Linked DNA regions of Lonchura striata. The protein of the gene in region 1 interacts with the protein of each later gene in a biochemical or structural test. Links are inferred from orthologs where the notes say so. Each region holds a gene or a part of one and is shown on either strand. Other genes may lie near its edges.

Evidence for each region.
Region 2: the proteins of STAT2 (region 1) and IFNAR1 form a complex in vitro, tested with the Homo sapiens proteins (2 studies listed by BioGRID). The link is inferred for Lonchura striata from reciprocal best matches to the Homo sapiens genes STAT2 and IFNAR1.

Annotation. Positions count from the first base shown.
Region 1 is NC_134629.1:5,609,458-5,617,127, forward strand, and holds the start of STAT2 (signal transducer and activator of transcription 2), read right to left. Parts: upstream 3,001-7,670; 5' UTR 2,966-3,000; intron 2,625-2,965; 5' UTR 2,024-2,624; intron 1,920-2,023; 5' UTR 1,919-1,919; coding exon 1,788-1,918; intron 1,681-1,787; coding exon 1,530-1,680; intron 1,454-1,529; coding exon 1,355-1,453; intron 1,268-1,354; coding exon 1,175-1,267; intron 1,094-1,174; coding exon 1,015-1,093; intron 923-1,014; coding exon 837-922; intron 759-836; coding exon 610-758; intron 535-609; coding exon 376-534; intron 1-375. Other genes in the region: APOF (apolipoprotein F), read right to left, coding at 4,302-5,183; protein timeless homolog, read right to left, coding at 5,782-5,903, 6,040-6,140, 6,258-6,297, 6,376-6,514, 6,901-7,019, 7,090-7,158, 7,229-7,391, 7,495-7,643. UniProt on the Homo sapiens protein: Signal transducer and activator of transcription that mediates signaling by type I interferons (IFN-alpha and IFN-beta).
Region 2 is NC_134604.1:116,560,150-116,567,019, forward strand, and holds the start of IFNAR1 (interferon alpha/beta receptor 1), read right to left. Parts: upstream 3,003-6,870; 5' UTR 2,962-3,002; coding exon 2,712-2,961; intron 1-2,711. UniProt on the Homo sapiens protein: Together with IFNAR2, forms the heterodimeric receptor for type I interferons (including interferons alpha, beta, epsilon, omega and kappa).

The DNA of each region.
Region 1 (7,670 bases):
TCTCGAATCATCCAGAGCTGGAAGGGACCCATCAGGATCAAAGTCCAGCCCAGCACAGGACACCACAAACTTTCCCCCAAAATCCCTGAGAGCACTGCCCCGACCCCCCCGACCTCCTGAATTACACCCAGAGCTGCGAGGGACCCACCAGAACCCTTGACCCCAGCTCCAGGCCCTACACAGACACCCCAAAAATCCCACCCTGTGCCTGGGAGCGTTGTCCAAACTCTCCCGGAGCTCTGACAACCTCGGGACCGTCACCACTCCCTGGAGAGCTTCCCCAGCGCTCAACCACCCTGGTGGGGAGGATTTTTCCCTGATCTCCACCCCCAGAACCCTCCTGGCAGCGCCGCAGCCGCTCAGAGCCCAGCTCACCTCCTGAGCAGGTGCGTGAGCTGCTCCTGCAGCCGCTGCTGCAGCAGGGGCGTCTCTGTCACCAGCGGGTCCCTGGCGTAGGTCACCTTCTGCCGCAGGTCGCCCAGCGCCCGCAGCAGCTGCCGCAGCTGGAACAGCCCCTGGCCCAGCTCCGTGAACCTGCGGGGGTCAGGGAGCTCGGAGGGGTCCGGCTGCAGCCCCCCACCCCGAGCCCCCCGAGCCCCCCAACCCTACCAGGTCTCCAGCGGGCGCAGGTTGGTGTCGCCGGGGCCCCCCATGCACTGGCGCTGCTGCCGCGCCCGCCAGTCCCCCAGCTCCTGCTGCAGCAGCTCCTGCAGCGTCTCGCTGCGCCTCAGGAGCTGCTGCATCTGAGCCAGCACCTCCTGGGGGGAGACGTGGCTCTCAGCGGGGTGCACGGTGCCCCCCCAAAACCCAGCCTGGCCGCCCCGAGCCCCCCTCACCTTGCGCTGCTGGTCCAGGTTCTTCAGTTTGTCCTCGAGGGATTTCAGCTCCTGCATGTACTCGGGGTCCCCGTTCCTCTCCCCATCTGCGGGCAGGGGAGAGGGCTCAGGGTTTTGGGGGGCTCGGAGGGGGCGCAGGGCAGTGCCCACCCCCCAATCTCCCCAGCGTGGGGCTCACCTGGCTGGTAGTGCACCTTGAAGCAGAAGTCAAAGGCATCCTGCAAATCCTCCAGGTGCCTGAAGGCTCGTTCGGCTTCCTGCGGACACAGGGGGGTCAGGAGGGGCCGGGCAGCCCCCGGGGGGCTCGGCGGGGGTCGCGGGGGGTGGCGGGGGGTTACCTGCAGGGCCCTGTGGAAGTCGCCCAAGCGCTGCTGGATCTGCTGCTCCCGGCCGTTCTCCGGGGCTGGGGTGGGCGCGGGGGCCGAACCCCCCTAGGCAGGGAGACACGGGGTGTGGGGCAGCGGCCGCGGGACCCCCGGCGCCTGTGGGGTGAGGCGGGGGACCCTGCCCTGCCCTACCTGCCCCCCCGCCTGCCCCAGGCGCAGGATCCGCCGCTCCTCCTGCAGCAGGTTGGCCACCAGGTTGGCGAACGTCTCCGGCTTCTCCTCGAACTCGGCCTGCGGAGGGGCTTGGGGGGGTCAGCGCGGCGCGGAGACCCCTCCCCACCGCGCCCCCCCCGGCCCTGGAGCCCACCTGGAGGTCGCGGTGGGCTTTGCGCAGGTTGTGCTTCAGCATGAAATCCTCGCGGTCCGAGCCCAGGCTGCCCAGGCGCTCTCCCAGTAGCACCAGTAAGGAGTGGAACAGCATGCGGGCGTGCGAGCAGAGCGGCTCGGCCGCCTGGCGCCTGCGGCAGCGCGGGCTCAGCACGGGCTCAGCACGGGCTCAGCACGGGCACGGCCCCGCCCGTGCCCCCCGGAGCCGCCCCCAGCCCCGGATCCCCCCCCCCGGTACCAGTTCTGGCTCTCGATCCAGGCGGCCAAGGACTGCCGCACGGCCATGGGCAGCGCCGAGCCCGCGTACAGCTGGTGCACCTGCTCCAGGTAGGTGTTGGCCAAGCTCTGCACCTCCTGCCACTGCGCCATGCTGCGGGGACAGCGGCTCAGCGGCGCCCCGGGCCGTGCCCCGGCCGCGCCGGGACCGGAGGAACACCCGCGGGCGCCAGGTGGGCACCGCTGCACCCCACGTACCTGCCTGCAGCACAGGACCGGGGTCCCTCTGCTCCTGCTCGGTCCTGGGGTCCCTCTGCTCAGTCCTGGGTGGTCCTGGGGGTCCCTCTGCTCAGTCCTGGGTGGTCCCGGGGGTCCCTCTGCTCCTGCTCGGTCCCTGGGGTCCCTCTGCTCAGTCCTGGGTGGTCCCGGGGGTCCCTCTGTCGGGTTCTGGGTGGTCCCGAGGGTCCCTGTGCTCGGGTTCTGGGTGGTCCGAGGATCCCTCTGCTCCTGCTCGGTCCTGGCTGCTCCCAGGGGTCCCTCAGCTCCTGCTCGGTCCCTGGGGTCCCTCTGCTCAGTCCTGGGTGGTCCCGGGGGTCCCTCAGCTCCTGCTCGGTCCTGGCTGATCCCTAGGGTCACTCTGCTCGGGTCCTGGGTGGTTCCGAGGGTCCCTGTGCTCGGTTCTGGGTGGTTCCGAGGGTCCCTCTGCTCAGGTTCTGGGTGGTTCCGAGGGTCCCTGTGCTCGGTTCTGGGTGGTTCCGAGGGTCCCTCTGCTCGGGTTCTGGGTGGTCCCGAGGGTCCCCCTGCCCCGCCGCAGCCCCGGCAGCTCCCGCTGGGGTGGCCGCGGACCGGCAGCCGCGTCCTGCGGTGGGAGCAGGGGCTGAGCCGAGGGGGGCTCCCCACCCGGGGCGGGGGGCACAGAACGCCCACAGCAGGGCCCCCAGCCCCCCTTCTGCACCACCCCAGGCCCCTCCTCAGAGACCCCCTAGACCGGACCCCCATGGGACCCCTCGGGCGCCCCCCGGGTCCCCCCCAGTGGGATGGGTGTCCCTGACCGCCCCCCGCCCCAGCGCGACAGCCTTCCAGGGGACGCTCTGTGTGCCCCAGCCGGGGTCCCCGGCCTGTGCCCCCCTTCCCCGGGCTCTCCCGGGCTCCAGAACCGCCCGTGTCCCGCCCCGGAGTGCCCCGGGACCCCCGACCCACCTCCGCCGGCACCGGAGCAGGAAGGCGGGCTGGCCACGCCCCCTGCCAGCTCTGCTCGCTGATTGGCGGAGAGCGGCGCCGAGGCCCCGCCCCCGCGCGCGGCGCCTCTGGGCCCGTTTGTTCATTTCCCCAAATTTACGTCACGCGGGGCGGGGCGTAGTGGGCGGGGCTAGTGGATGGGTGTGACCAATGGGCGGGCTCAGTGGGCGGGGCCAGCGGGGAGCGGGGGCGGGAACGGCGGCGGCGCGGGATGGGCGGGGGGACCGGGACAGGGACGGGGGGACCGGGATGGGCGGGGGGACCGGGACAGGGACGGGGGGGACCGGGACAGGGACGGGGGGACCGGGATGGGCGGGGGGACCGGGACAGGGACGGGGGGACCGGGATGGGCGGGGGGACCGGGACAGGGACGGGGGGGACCGGGACAGGGACTGGGGGGACCGGGACAGGGACACCGGGGACCGGGACAGGGACTGGGGGGGACCGGGACAGGGACGGGGGGGACCGGGACAGGGACGGGGGCGACCGGGACAGGGACACCGGGGACCGGGACAGGGACTGGGGGGGACCGGGACAGGGACGGGGGGGACCGGGGGACCGGGACAGGGACGGAGGGGACTGGGATGGGCGGGGGGACCGGGACAGGGACGGGGGGGACCAGGACAGGGACGGGGGGACCGGGACAGGACACAGGGGACCGGGACAGGGAGAGGGACGGAGGGGACCGGGATGGGCGGGGGGACCGGGACAGGGACGGGGGGGACAGGGACAGGGACTGAGGGGACCGGGACAGGGACGGAGGGGACCGGAACAGGACACAGGGGACCGGGACAGGGAGGGAGGGGACCGGGATGGGCGGGGGGACCGGGACAGGGACACAGGGGACCGGGACAGGGACACAGGGGACCGGGGGACAGGCTGCAAGGACAGGGACGGAGCTATAGGAACAGGTTATAGGAACAGGGATAGAGCCCTGGGGAAGGGAGAGGCCAAGATGACAGGGACAGAGCCCTGGGGACAGAGCCCTGGGGACAGAGCCCTGGGGACAGGGGGAGGCCAAGATAACAGGGACCGAGCCCTGTGGACAGGGAGAGGCTGGAGGGAGAGAGGGAACGAGCCCTGGGGACAGGGACCAGGCAGTGTGGCCACGGGGACTGAGTGGCTGTGGGGCTTTAGGGACAGGCACGGAGCCACCGAGGGACACAGGGACAGGCCCAGCCCAGCTGCCACCACGTGCCCGAGGTCCGGCTGCCCCAGGCCAGGGTGACCCCGCATCGATCCGTCCCCAGCCGCCCCAAACAGCGACCCGGCGCCGGCTGCCACACGTGGCCTTTATTCAGACGATGACCACGGCGCCGCTGTGGGCAGTGGGCACCGGCGCGGGCTCCCCGGCCGAGGTGAAGTACCCGACGAGCGCCCGCACGCCGGCCTTGAGCCCCGGCTGCAGCCCCAGCTGCACCCCCAAGGCCACGGGACCCCCCAGACCCCCGGTGAGCGCGGCCAGCCCGGCGTAGCCCAGCTCCTCGGCGGCCTGCAGCGCCCGCGTGGACGCCACGGCCTCGCAGCCCTGGAAGGCGAAGTAGACGCTGGTGCCCAGGTTGTAGAAGACGCTGACTCCCGGCACCCAGTCCAGCACCCGGTGGGCTTCGCGCTCCCCCGCCGGGCTGCAGGCGTCCTCGTCCTCCCGCCGCCGCCGCGCGGCACCGCGGCACGGCCGGACCCCCGCCAGCTCCCGGCCGGCCTGGCCCAAGCGTGGCGTGGGCTCCGTGCCGGGCGCGGGGCTGCGGGCTTGGGTGGGATCCACGCAGGCGGAGCCCCCCGGCCGTGCCAGGCTGAGCAGCAGCAGCGCCAGCGGCCGCGGCGCCCGGGCGCCCGGTACCCGCGCCAGCCCCCGCAGCAGCGCCGCGGCCGCGGGGGTCCCCAGCTCCCGAGCCAGCTCCAGCGCCTCGGCCTCGGCCTGGGGGGCACAGCCGGCCCCGCGCAGCGCCAGCGCCAGGGCGGCACGGGCCAGGCCGCGGGGCAGCGGCGGCAGCCGCGAGAAGCCGGGCAGGGCGTCGGGGAGAAGGGTCTGGCACGGCACCCCCGGTGCCCGCGGCGCGACGGGCTCCGCCGGCGCCGGCAGCGCCCGCTGACCGGCAGCCGGCCCAGGGGTGATGATGGACACGGCCGTGGCACGGCTGAGGATGAGGAGCGGGAGGAAGAGCAGAACGCGGGCCATGGTGGCGGCTCTGGGTCTGTGGAGGTGGGAGAAGGACAAAGCCCCGTCAGAGCCCCGCGGGCGCAGCCCCCCGTGGCTCCCCCGTGCCCCGGCTCACCCGCTCGCCGCTGTCCCTGCCCCGTCCGGCCGCTGCGGCCGCGCCGGCCCCGTGACCGCTTTATAGCCGCTGTTATCCGGGAGTTGCGACACGTCCGGCGCGGGGACAGGGACCCGGCGCTCCCTGAGCCCAGCGCGGCTCGAGCCCCCAGCCCCCCTGCAGACCCGCACACACCCAAGGAGGACAAAAGTCACTTTTATTTATTTAGGCCCTGTCCAGATTTAAAAAGTTTTAGGAAGGAGAAAAACCCCAACAGCTGAGGAAAAAGAGGAAACTTGGGGTAAAACAGGGAGATGGTGACACCAGGGGAAGTGGGGGAAGGTGGAGAAACTGGTTGCTTGTGCAGCCTTTAAAAACAGCATCAAAACCTGCAGAAGAAAATCTGCAGAAACCCCAGAAAACCTGTAGAAACCCTAGAAAAACTGCAGAAATCCAACAAAATCTGCAAAAAGCCCAGAAAACAGCACAAGGCCTGGGCACCGGCAGGGTATGGGAAGCCACTCAATCCTCTTCCTCCTCCTCTTCCAAGCAGCGGATGCGCTTCCGCCTCCCCCGGGGCTGTGGATCCTCTTCCTCCTCCTCATCCTCCTCGGAGCGGGGAGCTGGTGGGGCCAGCTCGGTGCCTGTGGATGGATGGAGAGGGGAGAGGGCTGAGCCCCCCAGGGGTGTGGTAAAGGGGACAAGGACAGCAGAACCCCGACCCAGCAGACACCTAGAGGACCCTCAGCCCTCAGAAGCAAGCAGAGGGGCTGAACCCACCTGAGCTCCCACCACCATCCTCATCCTCGTCCTCGCTGGCGAGCTCCCGGCGCCTCTTGGTGCGCGGCTGCACTGGGCTGGGGACGGGGACGGGCTCCTCGCTGCAGAGGGTGGCACCGCTCAGCCCCACATGCGGGGGGCCAAATCCCCTCCCCAGGCAGGGAGAAGACCCCCCCAAACCAGGACCCCACAAACGGAGAAGGGAAGTCGGCTCTCACCTCTCCGAGTCTGATCCCAGCCCCGCCGGTAGCGGCTCTGCTGAGGGGCACAAGGAGGGGGGCTCAGAGCCAGCCCCACACCTGGGGGTCCCACACCCCCCCCAGCCCCACCCCTCACCTGGAGCCGGGTCCTGGGGGCAGCTGGGCGGCTCTGACGGGTCCGGGGGGGACCCCGAGGGGCCCCGGTGGGCGATGGAGGCGGCTGCACGCCGGAGCTGCTGCGGGGTGAGGGCGGCCGGGATGCGCCAGAAGGATTCCTGGGCAGAGAGGGGGGACATGGCAGGGCTGTGCTGGGAGCCAGGGGATGGGGACAGGGATGGGGACAGGGATGGGGACAGGGATGGGTGGAGACAGGGATGGATGGGGATGGGGACAGGGATGGGGACAGGAATGGATGGGGATGGGGACAGGGATGGATGGGGATGGGGATGGGGACAGGGAAGGAGACAGGAATGAATGGGGATGGGGACAGGGATGAATGGGGACAGGGATGAATGGGGACGGGGATGGGGACAAGGATGGATGGGGACATGGATGGATGGGGACGAGGATGGGGACAGGGATGGACGGGGACAGGGATGGATGGGGACAGGGATGGATGGGGACAGGGACGGATAGGGACAGGGACGGGTGGGCACCTCACCTGCTCGCTGGCGGGGGGCCGCAGCCCCAGCTGCCGCAGCAGGGCCCGGAAGCGCCGGTCCTCCATGGCATCCTCGTTCTCCTCCGTCAGCGGCACCAGCGGCACCGGGTGGGACACGCCTGGGCCGGGAGCGCCGTCAGCGGGACCCCGACCCCGTAGAACCCCCCGGCCGCCCCCCGCCCCGCTCACCGTCCTCCTGGCGGTCCCCCGCCGCCCGCCGCAGGCTGTTCTGCAGCCACCGCAGGGGCCCGGCCAGCCCTGGGGACAGCAGGAGGTGACACAGGGTCCGGCCCCACGGCCCAGCCCAGCTCGGGGCTCCCTCGCCCACCTTCCCGATGCAGGCGCTGTGCCAGGTCCTGCCCAGCCCCTTCCTGGGGCACCTCCACGTGGCCTTCCTCTGCTTCATCCTCATCCTCCTCCTCCTCCTCCTCGCTGTCCTCATCCTCTCCTGAGCTGTCTTGGGCTGGCACGGCTGGCATGCCTGCGTCAGCCTGTGGGAGCCAGCAGTGTTTGGGTGCCCCCAGGGTGGGACAGCACCCCCAGGGTGGGACAGCACCCCCAGGGCACAGCCCAGCAGCCTCCAGCCCCCCGTACCTGCCCGACACTGGGGCCCTGGCTCTTCCTCCGGCGTCTCTTGTACAGCTCCTTGCGTTCAGCCACCAGCCCCAGCCCCAGCAGCTTCTCCACCACGCGAGCCCGCGAGCGCCGCGCCGTCAGGTGCTTCATGATGTTCCCCAGGACGTCTGTGGGGAGGAGGGTTAGGGTGGGGG
Region 2 (6,870 bases), on another chromosome or scaffold:
ACAGAGTAAGACAAACCCAGAGAATGCCAAAGGATGTTTGCTTGGAAAATAAGAAAACAAAGGAAAAACCAGATTTTTTTTTCCCAGATATTTATCCAACAGATGGCTACAATTCAGCCAAAACCCTTGTGACAACAAGGGCCCCACAGACTCCAACTGATAAAAACACGAATAAATTCCAATTATTAGAGTATTTGTGTTTGATTTGGGTAGAAATTTAAATATTTAGTGTATCTTTCCTGTCTTTTCAAATCCTTAATTGATAGAGCATGAGGCTTTCCAGTACTCCTGGTTAGACCTCAGCGGGTCAGATGGGAAAAAGGAGGAGTGGAAGCAGGAAGAAGATCCTGTCCAGATCCGTGTTCTGAGCAGAGATCTAAAATCTCTGATTTTTAAAGATCTTTAAGATTTTCTGTGTTTTAAGCCAGGCCAGTGTTTTGTACAGCTGGGAAATAGCCCAGGAAGGTCATTTCCAACACAACTCCCCACCAAGAGAAAGCTGAATGGCAGCAGCAATTCTTGAAGTTTTCCTTTTAAGCCAAATTTCCAGCTTCCTGAGGGAATTTTATTGTTCTCTTCTGTATCCCTTCCAAACGGTTCAACTTGCTTGAAGCAGTGAAACAAAAAATCACAATGAACTGGATGAGGCTACTTAATGGAGGCCTAATTTATATGAGACATGACCTAATCTTTTCCTTCTAATTAGCACTGCTGTGCCCTGATACTTTTGGGGTTTCTAAAAACACCCAACAAAACAATGTCATGTAATTTATGTGTAGAATTTTTTTTTTTTTTTTTTTCAGGTCTGATATTTTAACCCTCCTGTCTTTGCCCTGCACATTCTCCTGCTCAATATCACTGCACTTGTTTCCTGGAATACTGATGCAGTTTCTCAGGATACTTCTGGATGTTCCACCCTACACACAGGAATAGGTGATTCAGCCATCCACCCTTTCACATATTTCCCTATTTCCAATGAGTTTTGTGCTTGCCTCCCTAAATTAATTCCACAAATCATCCATTTCCCAATGAACAGCTATGCAGGAAGGAAGGAGCAAACTCAGCGACGTTTAATCAGCAGAGAAACTTTGTGATTTATGTAGTAATTTGATATGCAAAGAAAAACCTAAAAAACAACACTTCTTCCTGGCTTATTTTATTAATGATTAAAAGCCAAACATTTAAAACTAATTCCTGTTTGTCCACTTGAGCATGATGATACTTTGGTTCTGAGAAACCATTATAAGGCATTAGGTTTCTGCAGAAAGAAAAGATTAAAAACCAGAAATGCTTTTAGCACATCTGCCTATTTCCTTCCCCTACCAAATTCCAATAAATTAAACCAACCCAACCTGTTCTAATACAGAAAAATTACTGCTTCACTCGGGAGATGTTCAGCAATGTTATCAGTAAACAATGGTTGAAAATAATAATGATTATGTAATAAAATCTATTCAGCAACAGAAGAAAGCAAGAAATGGCAACACAGCAAACCCTGCTGTTGGGGGAAATCCCACGAAGAGCATATGATGCTCGATGCTTACGACATCCCTGGGTGCAGAAGCCAGTGGAAAATTTCAGCCAATATTTCAGTAGAAGGAGGAAGAGGAGGCCCCTTACATGTGACACCAGAAAAAGCTCTGAACGACTTTGATATGCAAAGAAAACCCAGAGCCAGAGCTTTACCCTGGAGCAGCAGCACAGGGAAAAGGAGAGGCCACTGAAGCAGAGCTATTGGAATTCCAGAGTTAGGATCACCCACTGGTTGGGATCTCAGAGCCCACCCAGTCCCAGGCTGCTCCAGCCCCAGTGTCCAACCTGGCCCTGGGCACTGCCAGGGATCCATGGGCGGCCCCAGCTGCTCTGGGAATTCCATCGCAGCCCCTCCCAGCCTGCCAGGGAACAATTCCCAATTCCCCATATCCCAGCCAGCCCTGCCCTCTGGCAGTGTAAAACCATTGTCCCTGGTGCTGTCACTCCCTGCCTGTATAAACAGTCTCTCTGCCCTCCCTTGTGATGCTCCACAACCCTTCCTCTTCCAGTAACAGATTTTGGGCAATAGTTGCTTTTTGCTGTGTAAGGAAAAAAGATAAGGCACAAGCTCGTGCCCTGCGAGCCAAAACCCCCATCCTGCCATTCTACCTATCATGTCGTCATTTATCCTTTAGACTCTGCCAGACTGACTTCCAAGCCAAAGAACGGGAATCCAAAGCTGTTTTTCCCACGCCGCGGCTGCAGCCGCTGCAATTCACCGGGAATGGGTGGGACGGGCTGGGGGAGAGGGACAATCCACAGGGACACGGGGGACAGACCCAGGGAATGGCTCCCACTGCCAGAGGGCAGGGCTGGGTGGGAGATTGGGAATTGGGAATTGTTCCCTGGCAGGGTGGGCAGGGCTGGGATGGAATTCCCAGATTCCCCTGGATCCCTGGCAGTGCTCAAGGCCAGGCTGGACACTGGGGCTGGAGCAGCCTGGCACAGTGGGAGGTGTCCCCATGGCAGGGGTGGCACTGGGTGGGATTTGGGGTTCCTCCAGCCCAAACCCCGCTGTGATTCCACGGCAGCCCTGCAAACACCACAGCACATCCTCACCGACACCGTTATCCCAGCCCGCATCCCCGCGGAGCTCCGGGAGCGCAGCGGGCCCGCTCCCCGCTCTCCCGGGGAGGGAGCCCCGCTCCGCCCCGCTCCCTGAGCGCTCCCGGACCCACCTGCGCAGGGCAGCGGGACCAGGAGCAGCGGCAGCGCGGCCGCCAGCCAGAGCGCGCCCGGCTCCCGCAGCCGCTCCGCCGTCCTTCTGCCCCTCGGCCCCTCCGTGCGTCCATCCCTGGGCTCCTCCGGCTCCTCCGTGCGTCCATCCCCGGGCTCCTCCGGCTCCTCCGTGCGTCCATCCCCGGGCTCCTCCGGCTCCTCCGGCCATCCCTGCCCGGGCTCCGCCGCCCCAGCCCCCGGCTCCGCCATCCCGGGCAGCGCTGCCGGAAGCGGCGGCGGCGGCGCCTGCGCGGAGCGGCCCGGGCGCTCTGAGGGGCGGTCGGGGCGGCGTGAGGGCGGTGTGGGGGCTGTGAGGGCGGTGTGGGGGCGGTGTGGGGGCTGTGAGGGCGGTGTGAGGGCTGTGTCGGAGCTGTGAGGGCGATCAGGGCTGCGTGAGGGCGGTGTCGGAGCTGTGTGAGGGCGATCAGGGCGGTGTGAGGGCGATGTGAGGGCTGTGTCGGGGCTGTGTGAGGGCGGTGTCGGGGCTGTGTGAGGGCGATCAGGGCGGTGTGAGGGCGATGTGAGGGCTGTGTCGGAGATGTGTGAGGGCGGTGTCGGGGCTGTGTGAGGGCGATCAGGGCGGTGTGAGGGCGGTGTCGGGGCTGTGTGAAGGCGGTCAGGGCTGTGTGAGGGGATGTCGGGGCTGCGTGAGGGCGGTCTGAGGGCGGTGAGGGCTGCGTCGGAGCTGTGGGGGCGGTCAGGGCGGTGTGAGGGCTATGTGAGGGGGTGGTGTCAGAACTCTGTGAGGGCGGCCAGGGCGATGTGAAGGTTCTGAGGGCGGTATCGGAGCTGTATGAGGGCGGTGTGAGGCGGTGTCGGGGCTGCGTGAGGGCGCAGTGAGGGCTCTGTGGGGGCGGTCAGGGCGGTGTGAGGGCGGTCAGGGCTGCATGAGGGCGATGTGAGGGTTCTGAGGGCGGTGTGAGGCGGTGTCGGAGCTGTATGAGGGGCAGCGTGAGGGCGGTGTCAGAGCTCTGTGAGGGCAGTCAGGGCTGGGTGAGGGCGATGTGAAGGTTCTGAGGGCGGTGTCGGAGCTGTCTGGGGCCGGTGTGAGGGCGGTCACGGCTGTGTGGGGCCGGTGTCGGGGCTGTGTGGAGGCAGCCGGAGCTCTGCCGGAGCGGTGTGAGGGCGGTATCGGAGCGGTGTGAGGGTTGTGTCGGAGCTGTGTGAGGGCTGTGAGGGCGGTCGGGGCTGTGTGGAGGCAGCCGGAGCTGTGCCGGGGCTGTGCCGCCGTTCCCTAAGGCGATGTCGGGACCCTCCCGGAGCTCGCGGTGCCGCCCCAGCCCCCGGCCGGTGTCACGCAGGGACAGCGCAGCCCCAGCCGGGGCACACCCGGCACGGGCCAGCCAGGGCCACGGGGCTGCTGCAGGGCCGGAGCCCCTCTGCAGCCAGGCTGGGAGAGCTGGGAATGTTCAACCTGGAGAGGAGAAACTCCAGGGAGAGCTCAGAGCCCTGCCAGGGCCTGGAGGGGCTCCAGGAGAGCTGCAGAGGGACTGGGGACAAGGATGGAGGGACAGGAGCCAGGGAATGGCTCCCACTGCCAGAGGGCAGGGCTGGGTGGGAGATTGGGAATTGGGAATTGTTCCCTGGCAGGGTGGGCAGGGCTGGGATGGAATTCCCAGATTCCCCTGGATCCCTGGCAGTGCCCAAGGCCAGGCTGGACACTGAGACAGTGGGAGGTGTCCCTGCCATGGCAGGGGTGGCACTGGGTGGGATTTGAGGTCCCTCCCAATCCAAACCATTCCCCGATTCTCTGATTGTCTGGGGAGGGAGAACTCTCTCTTTCGCTGCAGTTTGTCCATTTCTGAAATGTTCCATTGAATGCTGCAGTGTGCATTAAATGCAGTGTGTTACAGCCCCTGAACTGGGGCTTGGGTTCAGCTCCCTTTTGCCAGCCACAAGTTCTGATGACAAGATTAAAAGATTAAAGAGCTCCTCTTCTCTTTTTTTTTTTTTTCCATGGCCTGCCCAGCTGCAGGCCTGGGGAGGTAAAGTCAGGTGTTCACCTTTCACTTCCCACCCCCTCAAGCACAGACTCCTCTGTGGGCAGACCAATGTTTTCCGAGAGGAGGATTTGAAACTCTGGGGCACAAAGGTCTGTGGCCTCAACATCCTGACTGTTAACCAGGACAGGCTTTGCTTCTCAGGGAGAGTACAGACTGGCTTTTGGATAAAAATGTTCCTGGCTGCTGCTGCCTCTTGTGTCATGGGGTGCTGCACATACTCTGAGCACTCCTGCTGATCTCAGGTCCCAGAATCCCGGAATCCCAGGATGGCTGAGGTTGGGAGGTGGCACCAAAGTGGCCACTTGGTGCCACCTCCCTGCTCCAGCAGGGCCATCCCAGAGCACAGGGCACAGGGCTGTGTCCAGGTGGCTCTGGAATATCCCAGGGAGGAGCCTCCAGCCCCTCTCTGGGCTCTGTTCCAGCTCAGTCCCTGCCCAGGGCAGGAGTTGTGCCTCCTGTGCAGGGAATTGCTGGGCTCAGCCCCTGCCCGTGGCTCTGGGGCCATTGCTGGGCCTGGAGCAGAGCCTGGATGCTGGGAAGATGAAATGAGAAAGCCTTATAAATATGATTGCTTAGCGAAGGATTTGGAAAATACAGAGACTGTGAGTGAAACTGAGATGAGAACAAGCTTTGAGATTTCGGACCTTGGTTGCTAAGCAGCTGGTGACCAGCGGTGTAGCTGGTAGAAGGTAACTCCCTTTTTTGACCCACAGACAGATGCAAGGGACAGATAAAGTGTTCTGTCTCATCCCTCAGAAATGCATAGTCCCTCCCGCACCTGTAACCCTCCCCTCAAGTGTCAGGTACCCGTAATCCCGTTGTTCCCAAGTTGAATTCTGCACCCCCTCTGAAACCCCCTCGGTGAGGCGTCCTGGGAGACCGGGGCCCTCTGCCCCCTTGGGCCCTGTCGTGGAGCTCCCTCTCGCTGGCTCATCCTGCCCCCACCCCTCGGGGCTGCTCCGGGCTGGGCCCCGCAATGAACCGTGTGCCCGGAGACCTGACTGCACATCTGTCCCCTCTGTCCGTCCCGAACGGCCAGGACCAGCCCTCGCCACACCTGGGACAGACAGGGACACACAGGGACACACAGGGACAGACAGCCAGGGACAGACAGGGACACACAGGGACACACAGGGACAGACAGCCAGGGACACACAGGGACACACAGGGACAGACAGCCAGGGACACACAGGGACACACAGGGACAGACAGCCAGGGACAGACAGGGACAGCCAGGGACAGGCAGACAGGGACACACAGGGACAGACAGACAGGGACAGCCAGGGACAGACAGACAGACAGGGACAGCCAGGGATAGCCAGGGACAGACAGGGACAGCCAGGGACATGCAGGGCTCAGGTCCCTCTCCCTGGGGCTCTCTCCAGGCTGAGCAGCCCCAGCTCCCTCAGCCTCTCCTGGGCACAGCACAGGGATGCTCCAGGCCCCCGGGGCTGCAGAGCACGGAGGGATCAATGCTTGGCTCCAGGGGATTGCTGAGCCCGGAGGGATCAATGCTTGGCCCCCGGGGCTGCTGAGCCCGGAGGGATCAATGCTTGGCCCCCGGGGCTGCTGAGCCCGGAGGGATCAATGCTTGGGCCCCAGGGCTGCTGAGCACGGAGGGATCAATGCTTGGGCCCCGGGGCTGCAGAGCACGGAGGGATCAATGCTTGGCCCCAGCAGCGTGTGGGGGCATTGCCCAGCGTGTTGCAGGGCACTGCTGAGCCTGAGCCAGACTCGACCTGTGGGCGTTGTGACCTCCTGCCCCACAGCTGATAAGGAAACACGATTGTGGCATTTCTTGGTGTAACCACACCTCAGGGTAACCATTTTGAACTGAAACTGCTGAACCAGTCTGGCACTGCTAGAAACATTTCATAACCTAGGAAATATTTGCAGTTTATCTCCTGCTGAGTTTGAATGCAACTTCCTCACCGATGTGGTAGAAGAAAGGAGCAGAAGCTGGCCATAGGAGAGCAGTGCTATCTGCAGAGCACAGGCAGCCAGGGGAGGATGGTGTGTGTCCCTGTGGCCATTGATGTGTGTCCCAAGCCGCTCCTGTGGTGGAGGAAACGAGGCCTGCTGGAGTTTGAGCTCTGCTGGGTTTGTTTCTGTTGGC